3 linked regions of the Sus scrofa genome follow. The protein of the gene in region 2 interacts with the protein of the main gene of each other region in a biochemical or structural test. Links are inferred from orthologs where the notes say so. Each region holds a gene or a part of one and is shown on either strand. Other genes may lie near its edges.

Region 1 (3,646 bases), on a different chromosome or scaffold from region 2:
AATTCACTTAACCTCTCTGATCTTCAAATTTCTCATCATACAAGAGTCCAAGATGCCTACTTTACAGGGTCACTATGATTATCACATACTATTTGGGATAGTACCCACTAGAAACTTAAACTCAATAAATGACAGGTACTATTATTGCCATCATTGTTATGATGAAAAGAATTGCAGTAAAGTAATTCTGCTCAAGATTTATAGAGCCAGTAAGTGGCAGAGCCAGGACAAGAACTTTCAAAGGAAATGGAAGGAAAAGTAGTTGGACCCCTGATGAATGTGCTCTTCCTCTCTAAGCTCCAGAGAACCACAGAAGTCCTTGCTAGGACTAGCACCCATTCTTGTTGCACAAGACAAACAAGGACTCGTTGCATTGCTTGGAAGAGCCAGTCCAGGCCAAGGTTCTTTCCCCCTGTGGTCCTTCATGCCTCCTGCACCTCTTATCTTTCCTCACCTTCACCTCTTCATCCAGCTTTTTCTGTAGCTCCTCCACTTTTTGGGTGAGTTCGCTCTGCCCGGCCAAGGCCTTAGTAGAACCAGGAGAAGCCACCTGCCAGAGATGCAGGGGGGAGGAAGTGAGTCCACATCCTGATCCCAAGGCCCAAAGGCCCTAACCCTGACCCCTGCTCCCACCATAAGAAGGCCACTCACCATCAGAGGCTGCATCTGCTCCAGCACCAAACTGACCTTCCTCCTCACTGAGGTTTCACTTTCTGAGCTTCTGGAGAATAAAAGCACAGATGCAAAGATTAGAGGAGGAAAGAGGAAGCAGAGATGAGAGAAGGAAGGGTTAAGAGCAGGGAAGATGCGGAGTTCCCATCGTGGCACAGCAGAAACGAATCCGACTAGGAACCGTGGGGTGGCGTGTTCGATCCCTGGCCTCACTCAGTGGGTTAAGGATCCAGCACTGCCGTGAGCTGTGGTCTAGGTTGCAGACACAGCTCGGATCTGGCATTGCTGTGGCTCTGGCGTAGGCTTGGCAGCTACAGTTCCAATTGAACCCCTAGCCTGGGAACCTTCACATGCCACAAGTGCAACCCTAAAAGGACAAAAGGCAAAAAAAAAAAAAAAAAAAAAAGAGAGAGAGAGAGAGCAGGGAAGATGGGGAACAAAGCTAGAAGGGAAAGAAGGGAGGTGTGTGACTCTGCTGTTGGGAGGGTCCCCACTCACCCTTCTCTCAGGATGCCATAGATGGTGGCCTTCACGTGGTCCACACTGCCTGGTGGGGCTGCCTCCTGCTGGTCTCTGAGAAGGTCTGGAGTTGATTTGAACTACAAAAAAAAGTAAAACCAAAGAAATAGAAAGATTAGGAAGATAAACCAGAAGCATTGTGGGGCTCAGATGGAAGAGAAGTAGCAAGTGGGAAACAAGGTCCTTCGAGCATGACAAATAGGCCGAAGTCAGGTAAAGAGGCAACACTGGAGTTCCCATCGTGGCTCAGTGGTTAACGAATCCGACTAGGAACGATGAGGTTGCGGGTTCGGTCCCTGGCCTTGCTCAGTGGGTTAACGATCCGGCGTTGCTGTGAGCTGTGGTGTAGGTCACAGACGTGGCTCAGATCCTGTGTTGCTGTGGCTCTGGTGTAGGCTGGTGGCTGCAGCTCCAATTCGACCCCTAGCCTGGGAACCTCCATATGCCATGGGTGTGGCCCTAGAAAAGACAAAAAAAAAAAAAAAAAAAAAAGAGGCAACACCTCTGAGGCCTGAGCAAAGGCCAGGAAGGAGTCAAGCAGGATACACCTCTCACTATTGCTGCAAACCAGATTTTGCTCAACAAACAGATCTCAACCAGCTGTGAGCTGTGTCATAGGCTATTTGTCACTAATGGCAGTTAATGTACTAGAATCTGTAAATGATCTACTTTTAGAATGGGCTTAACTTTGTCTCAGAGTAAAGTCACTCCCCTACTCACTTGCATTCCTACGTGGGAGGGTTTTGGGGTGGGGGTGGGGGGCCACGCCCACAGCATGTGAAAGTTCCTGGGCCAGGGCTCAAACCTGTGCCACAAGAGTGACCCCAGGCACTGCAGCTTAAGGCCAATGCTGGACCCTTAACCCACTGCGCATAAGAGAACTCCCCGAAGGTAGGAGTCTTGGCAAGAGCATGAGGGAACAGCTCACATTCTCCAGGCCTGCCTCACGTATGCTATAAACTTAGCAAAAGCCAGTGACTGAGGCGTAGTTAACAGTCGGGCGATGACAAGCAGCTCTCCATGCTCGTAAATGATTTCATAATTACTTCCATTTCCTTTAGAATTTTGCCCACAGAAGTATACTGTACTTGTGAACACCATCTACTAAACAGATGGATAAAAAGTAGCAACTTTCTGCCTTGAGTCATTTGAATCAACATGGGGTCCCAGGGCTGGTGGGTCGGGGCTGATGAGAAGGGGCTGGGGGGTTGGAAGCCACGAAGGGGTGGGGTCTGACCTGTAGCATCCCAGGGTCCTGGGCTCTCCCCCGTGGCTCCTCAAAACTCTGAAGGACCCAGTCCTGGGTTTGACGAGAGCGGCTAAAGCCACCAAGAAGGTTCTGGGCTGACTGTTTCGAGCTGCCCATGTGCTGGTCACGCTTTGTGCTAGGGGTCCAGTGGTCGGGGGACCGGCGCTCCCGTTCCTCAAGGGTGTCCCGTGGGAGCCGGTTGTCCAGGCTCTGGCTCCGCTTGCGTTGTTCAGGGGGCAACGTCCGCATGCGGCGGCCAGTCCGGCCCCGGATCTGGCCCCCATGGTGGCCGTCAAACTTGTTGATGAGTGAGTCCACTGAAGACAGGGGGGCAGTGTCAATGGTGCTCCCAGGGGAAGCTCCCTGGGGGGCAAGCTCCAGCAGGCTGGCGCTCCTGTTGCTCGGACCCATAGCGGCAGGGCCTGCTAGCGAGGCCTGGGACTGGGAGCGGAGCAGCTTTCCATTCCAGTGGGCCCCGGGCTCCTCATCAGACGTGCTGCCCCGCGAGGTGGCAGGAAACTCCTTGGCCTGCGAGTAGGGGCTCTCAGTGAGTTCCGAGTCAGAGCTCAGAGCTCCCGGGGGCCCTCGGCTGTTGGCCCCCTTGATCTGGACCCCAAAGGAGTCACCACCTTTCTCCCCACTGTTGAGCACCACAAAGGGCTGCCCAGCGATGCCCTGCACGCGCACGGCGACCCCATAGGTATTGGCTCTTGCATCCTTAGCTGGGCGTCGCCCACCACGACGGAGGGTGCCCATCTCTGCATCATCCACTGGCTCTGTGATGAAGCGAATCTGGACTCCATGGTCTACAGGGCCCCGGGGCTCAGCCATGCTGGACACCTGCTCCATGGATCGGAGGGGTCCTAGAAGATGAAGAAGAGAGTTTAAGCTGAGAGACTAGAAATAGAAACCCAGAAACCTCTACTTGCTCAGCTTTTGTGAGGCTGACTGCCCTACCAATTCCTTCTCCCAAAGTAGTAGTTTTCATCCTTTGTTTGAGCAGCAGAATCACCTGTTAAAACTGACTGCTGGACCCTACCCCCAGAGAATCAGATTCAGCAGGTGGTCCCCAACTGAGGGTTTACATTTCTAACAAGTTCCCAGGTGATGCTGATGCTGCTGGCCCAGATTCCACACTTTAAGACCCACTAGCCCAGAATCCCTATCTTCTAATACAGTCCTGCGGAGTTTGGCTTTGTCATGAGT
Region 2 (3,746 bases):
ACCTCCCCTGCCCCAGGACACCGTGGGATGACTGTACCAGCTACTGTTTACTTAGCACCCACTACAGGCCAAGCTCCCTACGTCATTTCACTCAATCCTCATTCAACTCTGTGAGGTGTGTTGTTAACCTCATCTTCTATATTGGCTTACCCTGTGAGGTATCTGTTCAAATAGTGAACTTTTTTTTTTTTTTTTGTCTTTTTAGGGCCACACCCATGGCGTCTAGAGGTTCCCAGGCTAGGTAGGGGTCTAATCAGAGCTGTAGCTGCCGGCCTACACAGCCAAAGCAACTCCAGATCTGTGCTGCATCTGCAACCTACACCACAGCTCACAGCAACTCCGGATCTTTAACCCACTGAGCGAGGCCAGGGATTGAACCTGCAACCTCATGGTTCCTAGTCGGATTCATTTCCACTGGTCCAGGACGGGAACTCCTGAACTTTCTTCCTAATAAGAATCCCTGAAGGGGAGTTCCCGTCACAGCGCAGTGGTTAACGAATCTGACTAGGTACCATGAGGTTGTGGGTTCGATCCCTGCCCTTGCTCAGTGGGTTAACAATCCGGCGTTGCCATGAGCTGTGGTGTAGGTCGCAGACACGGCTTGGCTCCTGTGTTTCTGTGGCTCAGGCGTAGGCTGGCAGCTACATCTCCGATTGGACCCCTAGCCTGGGAACCTCCATATGCCGCTGGAGCGGCCCTAGAAATGGCAAAAAGACAAAAAAAAAAAAAGAATCCCTGAAGGGAGTGTGCACAGGAAGACCCCACACTTTGTTGTATTTTTGTACTGCACAGTGTGCATCTGTGCAGCACACTCCCTCCTTTAGCCACAGCAGAGAGAGCCTGCAGTCCAAAAAACATCTAAAATTTTCAGATCAAACAGACTCTTGAAGTTGAGTCTTACTCACCTCACACCCCCACCTCCCCAACAGTGGCCGGGCACAGGTGGGTGCTCATTAATTTATTAACTTCGCGGTCCTAAAAAAGTTGCAGCAGCCATTCTGGGGGGGGGGATCCCCCTTCATCAATCTTTGGCAGTAGCTCTGAAAAAGCTCAAGATACAACTCAAAAGCCACCACTGCCTTAGTAAAACACTCCTTTCTCTCAGCTCCCCAGAGAGAAGCAACTCCAGCATCCTGTCCCTATTTCTAACTGGAACTATCAGTCTTCATCATTTACAGGTTTCCCCAACAAGACAGTGTGGTTGGTAGAAGCACACTCTTAACATTTCTATTTTCCACACTGAGATGAAGGTGCTCATAAAAATGTATTAAACAACCAATTTCATTGTTTTAGGCAGGATAATAATTGGCACTTTGGCGCAAAAGCAATCACTACTACTAACTCCTCAATTAAAATGAAAACCATCTGCTTCCCACGTATGCATGTAGACTGTCTTTCCCAGGAAGAATCCTGACAAAAATGACCCTGTTCTCCCAGCATGACCTTCAGCACCTCCAGCACAGACCATCTAAAGATCTGAAGGAAAAGGGCCGCTTTCCTTCTGTGATGGGATTCCCCTAGCTGAAGAAGGGAGGGCAGTTTCTACCACGGGATGAGACTCCACTGGGAACTGCTGGAAAACCACAACCATTACTCAGGCCAGACAGCTGCCAAGGAAGCAGCACTGCCTCGGAATTGAAGCTAAAATAGAGGTGGGAGGGTTGTATTCCATTACTAAGCCCTGGAGTATTCACTCCCAAGTTCATCCACGTTTCAAGAATGTTAAAACCCTGTAGGCAAAACCCTGATTATTTATAACTTAAACTACTGTGTAAAGCAGAAACTTGACAAATGAAAACATAAAAGAAAAGGAACTGGTGACAGGTAAGATAATACCAGAATACAAAGTATTCATCACTCCCTTTTTGGGGGGTCCTCCAAAACCCTATCTCCATTCCCTGCCACAAATAACTTTTACTTATACTGCCGACTAAAAGAGATTGAAAGGGAAAATGAGGATTCCCATCTCCAAAGAGTCGTCAGTTCGTCTCATGCACACATGCTCTAACTTTGCATCAATTACAGAATAACTGGTTTGAAACTAAGAAGGAAAACTCAAAAGCAAACAACAGGCGACATAACAAGCTCAACGAGATGCCTCAAAGGTAGCAGGGATCCAAAACAGAGTTCAAGAGAGTTTCCCCTACTCGCGACTGAAAACCAAGTGACTTCATAGAACAGAGAAAAAGATTCAGGAATCCTGGAGGCCCTGACCCAGCACCTCTGCCGGCGAAACCTACTCCCTGCCCTCAACTCCACCTCCGGATGGAAGAATCCCAGCCACCTACAGCGCATCCGGGAAGCCCACCACGCGCTCCTAAGCTCTCTCCTCGCGACCCTTCTCCCAACCGAGCGGGACGCCAGACGGCACTTACATGGAGCCAACTTGACATCTCCCGCCTGGGTGGAAACCCGCGATCTCCTCGCACCGGCATTTTCGGGCGCGGGTCTCTCATGGACGCACCAGTCCCGAGCCCCGCTCCTCCTGATACTCCGGGCGGCAGGTCAGTTCTCAGTCCGTCAGCCGCGTTTTGCCTGGGTGACGGCCCCACGGGGACCCACCCCTTTGTCCCTCCTCCCGCGGCCGCGGCGGCTGCGGCGTCCGCCCGCCCCCGGCCGCAGGCAGCGCCTCTGCGCCGGCCGCCGGCCCGGGAAACTCTGAAAAGGGCCGCTACCACCCCCGCGCGGCCCGGGGGAAGGCTTGCCAGCGCCGCGCCCCTCAAGTCCCCACCGAGGGTTCGGGCTCGCGCGACTCCCCGCCAGGGACGGAAGAGGGTGGAGGCAACAGGCAGACACCGAGGCCCCAGCTTACCGCGCCCCCCACGTCCGAACCTCCCCCCTCTCCGGCCGGCCGGATGGTTCGCTCCGCGGCATGCACAGGGCCTCAGGTCCCGCTCCCGCCCCGCGCGTGCGAGGGAAGCGCTGCAAGTTTGCTTGCAGCGGTAAGTGTGGGGTGGCGAGTTAGTCAGCAGGTTCTCCCATTAGAGATCCTGTAAGAATGCTTTTTGGAGACTTTTGCAGCGCCCCCTCCTCGGTTCTCTTCCGAAAGGAAGAACCCGGGAAACCCCGAAGTTTTTGCTGTCTTGCCTAGAGGCTGGCAACACAGGGCACTGTACCCCAGGTTTTTCAGCTCAACAATTCCCCGAATTCCGAGGGTATAAGATGTTCATGTTAAAGAATAAAACATGATTTTTGAGGGAAATATACGCCAGGTTATCTCTTTGGCACATTTCCAACAACTCTAATAAAGAGATGGAAACTCCTCTCTCATCACTAGCTTTTAAAAGGCTTTTTTTTGAAAAATAGGTTACAAATACTTATCAGGCAGGATTCATCAAATTCAACTCAGTACATTTATTTGTTTTAGAGTCCTCTATACGAAGAAATGTGCACAATAAATAAAATCTTATTTGGGGAGTTCTCAGAGTGGCACAGCAAGTTAAGGATCTGGCATTGTCATTGCTGTGGCTCTGTCCCTATCCCATGCCAAGGGCACAGCCCCAAAATTTTTTTTTCCTTGTTTTAAGGTAATGTAAGTTATTTGGAAAATCAAGACAGGTGCACTGATGTAAAAAAATAAAACTTTGGGTTTGGACTCTAAGGAAACCACACTGTAAGAAAAAAAAAATGTGGCCATCCTGCTCTTCTAAATTGAAAAGCAAAACTCGGCCCAGGCTCCCAAGAAGGTAAAAGGTAAAAGGTCAAAATGGATCCACTGACGAAATGCAGATGCCCGGCTCTCTCCC
Region 3 (3,746 bases), on a different chromosome or scaffold from region 2:
GGATGAAAAAAAGCCCGCTAAATATTCTAATTAAGTAAGCCTTGAAATGCACCTGAAGAAAACTTCCCTCTAGGAGGTTCCTGGGAAGGTGAAAGACATTATATCAGTTAATTTATGTGGCTGAAAGTAATCTCTCTCTCTTTTTTTTTTTATATTTTCTAGGGCTAAACCCGCAGCATATGGAGGTTCCCAGGCTAGAGGTCTAATCAGAGCCACAGCAACTCGGGATCCGAGCCGCATCTGCAATCTACACCACAGCTCACGGGACCGCTGGATCCTTAACCCACTGAGCAAGGCCAGGGATCAAACCTGCAACCTCATGGTTCCTACTCAGATTAACCACTGAGCCACGACGGGAACTCCTCATTTTGAAAGGACAATAGTTTCAATATTATCCTCAGAAGAAAAGAGTAAAGATTTTTACCTTTAGATCAAGCAAGATGGGGAACACTTATATGAGGCCACAGGGTATAGTCAAAGGTAGAGAATTCCAGAACAACTCCCCAAATCTGGTTCTCCTGCTGGCTTATAAGGACTGCTGCTTTTCTAATATACCTTCCCTAACTAGCTGAAGAAGTTTTCAAGCCAGCCCGTTTGCAACATGTTTCCCCTACCTGGTGTTCACTCACAACTGGAGTTCTAATAAGATCTAGCTTTTAGAGATGCTGGGATGATTAAATGATATAAAGTACAAAAGGGCAACACTCATCATTTCCCTAAATTGCCTGTTGGTGTGTAAATCTCCATCATTTAACAAGGAGGCACCTAATAATGAAATAAATGCAAAACTAGATAAAACCAGTGCTGTTGCTTTTTCTGAGAAAATATCAATTACTGCAGAGCCAACTTTTAAAATGTCTATTTTAGGGGACTTCCCTGGTGGCCTAGAAGTTAAGGATCTCGCTTTGCCACTGCTGAGGCTCTGGTACAGGTTGGAGCCCTGGTCCAGGAACTTCCGCATGCCACACACAGCCAAAACTAAGACAAATAAGGTGTTTATTTTAAAACACCAGGAAGACAAAATATTCAATACATACAGTGCAAAGGAAACACTGTTACACTAGGGAATGCAAAGTTGAGAACTCTACCACTGTCTGGAAAGAACTAGTTTTCTATCAAAAAGCCTAAGGGCCTTAAGAGGAAGGGATTCTCTTTCCCAGGGATCGCAATAATATACCTGTAGTGCGTGAGGGCCACACAGTAACCTGGAAATCTGCCTCCTGCCTGCCCCGGGTCACCTCCCGGGTGGGCAGGCTACCCGGCCCAGGGATGCCCCGGCTTCTCCTCCGTCTCAGTCGCTTCACCTGGGACCGGAGGGTCTTGGAGCCGCTGCTGCAGCCGCAAGGTGCAGAGGCCATTTTGGCCCCTCCGCCCGCCTGGCCCCTCCACCCACCTGGCCTCACACACTTGGTCCGACACAGGCAACATGTCCGCTGCGCGCCGGGCCGGCCCTTCCCCGGGTCGCAGGAGCGCGCGGCCGGCCGGCCGGGGCCAGGTCCCGGAGGTCATGCACCCCCGCCACTTCCAGAGCGCCCCGGGCCGTGAGCGCTCGTCGAGCACGGACGGCCCCGAGGCAGGTCCGCCCACCTGGCGGCGGCCTTTAGGTCACGGGTGAAATAGCCCAGGCGTGTGCGGCTTCCCTCGAAGTACAGCTACACTCGAAATTAAGTCCCCGCCCCCCAGCTTAAATCCACGCGGAACCACACAACTGCCCCCCAGGGGCTTGAAAACAGCCCATCGGCCCACCCCACGTCTCCAGGAATATTGCACGGATTAAATCTGGCCACCCCTTCTCCCCCTGGGGTACCCAAAAGGGTGGGGCGGGATGGCGTCGAGGAGGTCCCCCGGGGGTCCTAACCGCCACGCCCCGGCCAGCGAGCCGACCCCCCTCGCTCCAGTGCTCAGGATCAGAGCCCACTTTCCCCGAGGACCCTCTTCGCGAGGACCCTCCCTCCCAACTGTACCTCGGAGAGCTGGGCGCAGGATCCTCGCTGTTCACTTAACTTCCCGCCAGCCCCCATGTAACCGAAAGGTTGCCCCCACCGCCTAGACACCGGTGGCTTCAAGCGTTTCCGCGGCAGAAGTTGATGGGCGTCTCCAAGCGCACCCCCGCTCGGGAGGCAGCCTCTCAAGTTCGCCCCGCGCGGCTCCCTCGGACGACCCGCGCCTTTTCGCTTCCCGCGAGTCCCAGCCCAGGGACGAAACCGCCACCGAAACCAGCGCGGGCTTCCTCCCCCCGCGCCGCTCCTACCAGACAGAAGGGCCCCTCGTGCGCCCTGGGCGCGGCGCCCAACTCTCACCTTCTCACCGCAGCCTGGCCCGACCCACCTGGAAAGGCGAGACCCAAGGAGCGCGCTCACCTGGAGGGTGCACCTGACGCAGTGCAGACGGCCAGCTCGCCCCGCGGCTCAGCTGGGGACCCAGCCCTCCTCCTCTCCACCCTCCTCCCCTCTCCTCCTCTCCCCTCCTCCTCCTCTCCCCACCCACCCCGCCGTCCGGCCCACGGGCATGCGCACCAAAGCCAGGCCCGTGTGCCAGTTACCCCCCCGCCCCCGCCGCCCCGAGATCCACCTGCTGCACCCCGCGAGGGCTCTGCGGCGCTCTGTCTAGCTCTCCCCGGAGTCCCGCCGCCCCAACCAGAGGAAGGAGAAAGGGGGTGGTGGACACGGGCGAGGAGGAGTGGTGTGGTGGCCTCCTCCCACCGTGATCCATCCACCTGAAACTCAGATGGGAGGGGGAAGGGAGCGGTGGAGAAGGAGGCGGGAGTAACCAGCCCTTCGCACACCCTTGCTGCGCCCGGCGTTAAAGGAACAGTGCGGCCTTTTGGCCTGAAGCACAGGGGACAGAGCACCGAAGGGCTGCTTGGGGTGGGGTCTCGGACATTGAGAGGTTGGGGAGGGGTCCTGGACCATCTGGGAAGCGCTGGGAGACCGGTGGGCTTCGGGTAGAACTGCAGAGTGTTTGGCAAGTAAGGTCTGAAAAGTGTCCAGGGGTGCTCAGCGCTTTGACAAAAAAGGCACGATCTCACACAAAACTTTCCTGCTCCGAAAATGTGGTTAAAGTTTTGTTGCAAAGAAATTTTTGAAAGTCATGCGGGGTTTTGAGAATGGTTTCTGAATGTCTGGATCCAGAAAAAGATCATTACTCAGAATGGTTCTGTGCAGGTGAAGTACTGTAGATAATGGTGTCAGTGAACTTGCCGTCAAAATTAAGTGCATACTCCAATATACGTTACTACCGGTTCAGGGTCCTCTGCCCTTCCCTCCCACATTTAACTATGGTGTGACTGAGAGGCTGTTCTTGGGGGGATCTAAACTATATAAATAGCCTCTTTGGCTTAAAGGGAAAAAAAAAAATTGCCCTAGTTCTGTGTGCTCTCGATCCCTAGGCTCTTTCCAAAGGAGTGTTCAATTTAGGAAAACTCATAGTCTGCACTTAACGCTGTATACACTGATCTATATGCATGTTGTATTTCTTTTTTTTTTAATTGCACAACTGAATGGGGCAGTTTTAGTTCTTGCTACTTAAGTGTCTGCATTGAAGGCTAGAAATTAGCCTGTAAATCCTGCTCACTTTGTGTTTCAGTCTGGAATGTCAGCATTGCTAATAAATTTCAGTCCAATCCCACCCACTTCTCTTCCTCTAATTAAGTGGTTAGGGATGTGACTCTCTCCTACATTAGATCTTAAGACACAGCTCAATACTTAAGGAAATAAAAGCATTATATAAATATAAGGTATTTAAAA

The links.
Region 1: the proteins of TJP2 (region 2) and CGN form a complex in vitro, tested with the Homo sapiens proteins (2 studies listed by BioGRID and IntAct, with this or other methods). The link is inferred for Sus scrofa from reciprocal best matches to the Homo sapiens genes TJP2 and CGN.
Region 3: the proteins of TJP2 (region 2) and OCLN form a complex in vitro, tested with the Homo sapiens proteins (3 studies listed by BioGRID). The link is inferred for Sus scrofa from reciprocal best matches to the Homo sapiens genes TJP2 and OCLN.

What each region holds. Positions count from the first base shown.
Region 1 is NC_010446.5:97,720,486-97,724,131, forward strand, and holds part of CGN (cingulin), read right to left. Parts: intron 3,304-3,646; 5' UTR 3,290-3,303; coding exon 2,429-3,289; intron 1,272-2,428; coding exon 1,171-1,271; intron 722-1,170; coding exon 652-721; intron 551-651; coding exon 455-550; intron 1-454. UniProt on the Homo sapiens protein: Probably plays a role in the formation and regulation of the tight junction (TJ) paracellular permeability barrier.
Region 2 is NC_010443.5:222,523,636-222,527,381, reverse strand, and holds the start of TJP2 (tight junction protein ZO-2), read right to left. Parts: upstream 2,631-3,746; 5' UTR 2,457-2,630; coding exon 2,376-2,456; intron 1-2,375. UniProt on the Homo sapiens protein: Plays a role in tight junctions and adherens junctions. Acts as a positive regulator of RANKL-induced osteoclast differentiation, potentially via mediating downstream transcriptional activity.
Region 3 is NC_010458.4:47,599,159-47,602,904, reverse strand, and holds the start of OCLN (occludin), read right to left. Parts: upstream 2,731-3,746; 5' UTR 2,572-2,730; intron 2,415-2,571; exon of another isoform or gene 1,965-2,414; intron 1,539-1,964; exon of another isoform or gene 1,394-1,538; intron 1-1,393. UniProt on the Homo sapiens protein: May play a role in the formation and regulation of the tight junction (TJ) paracellular permeability barrier.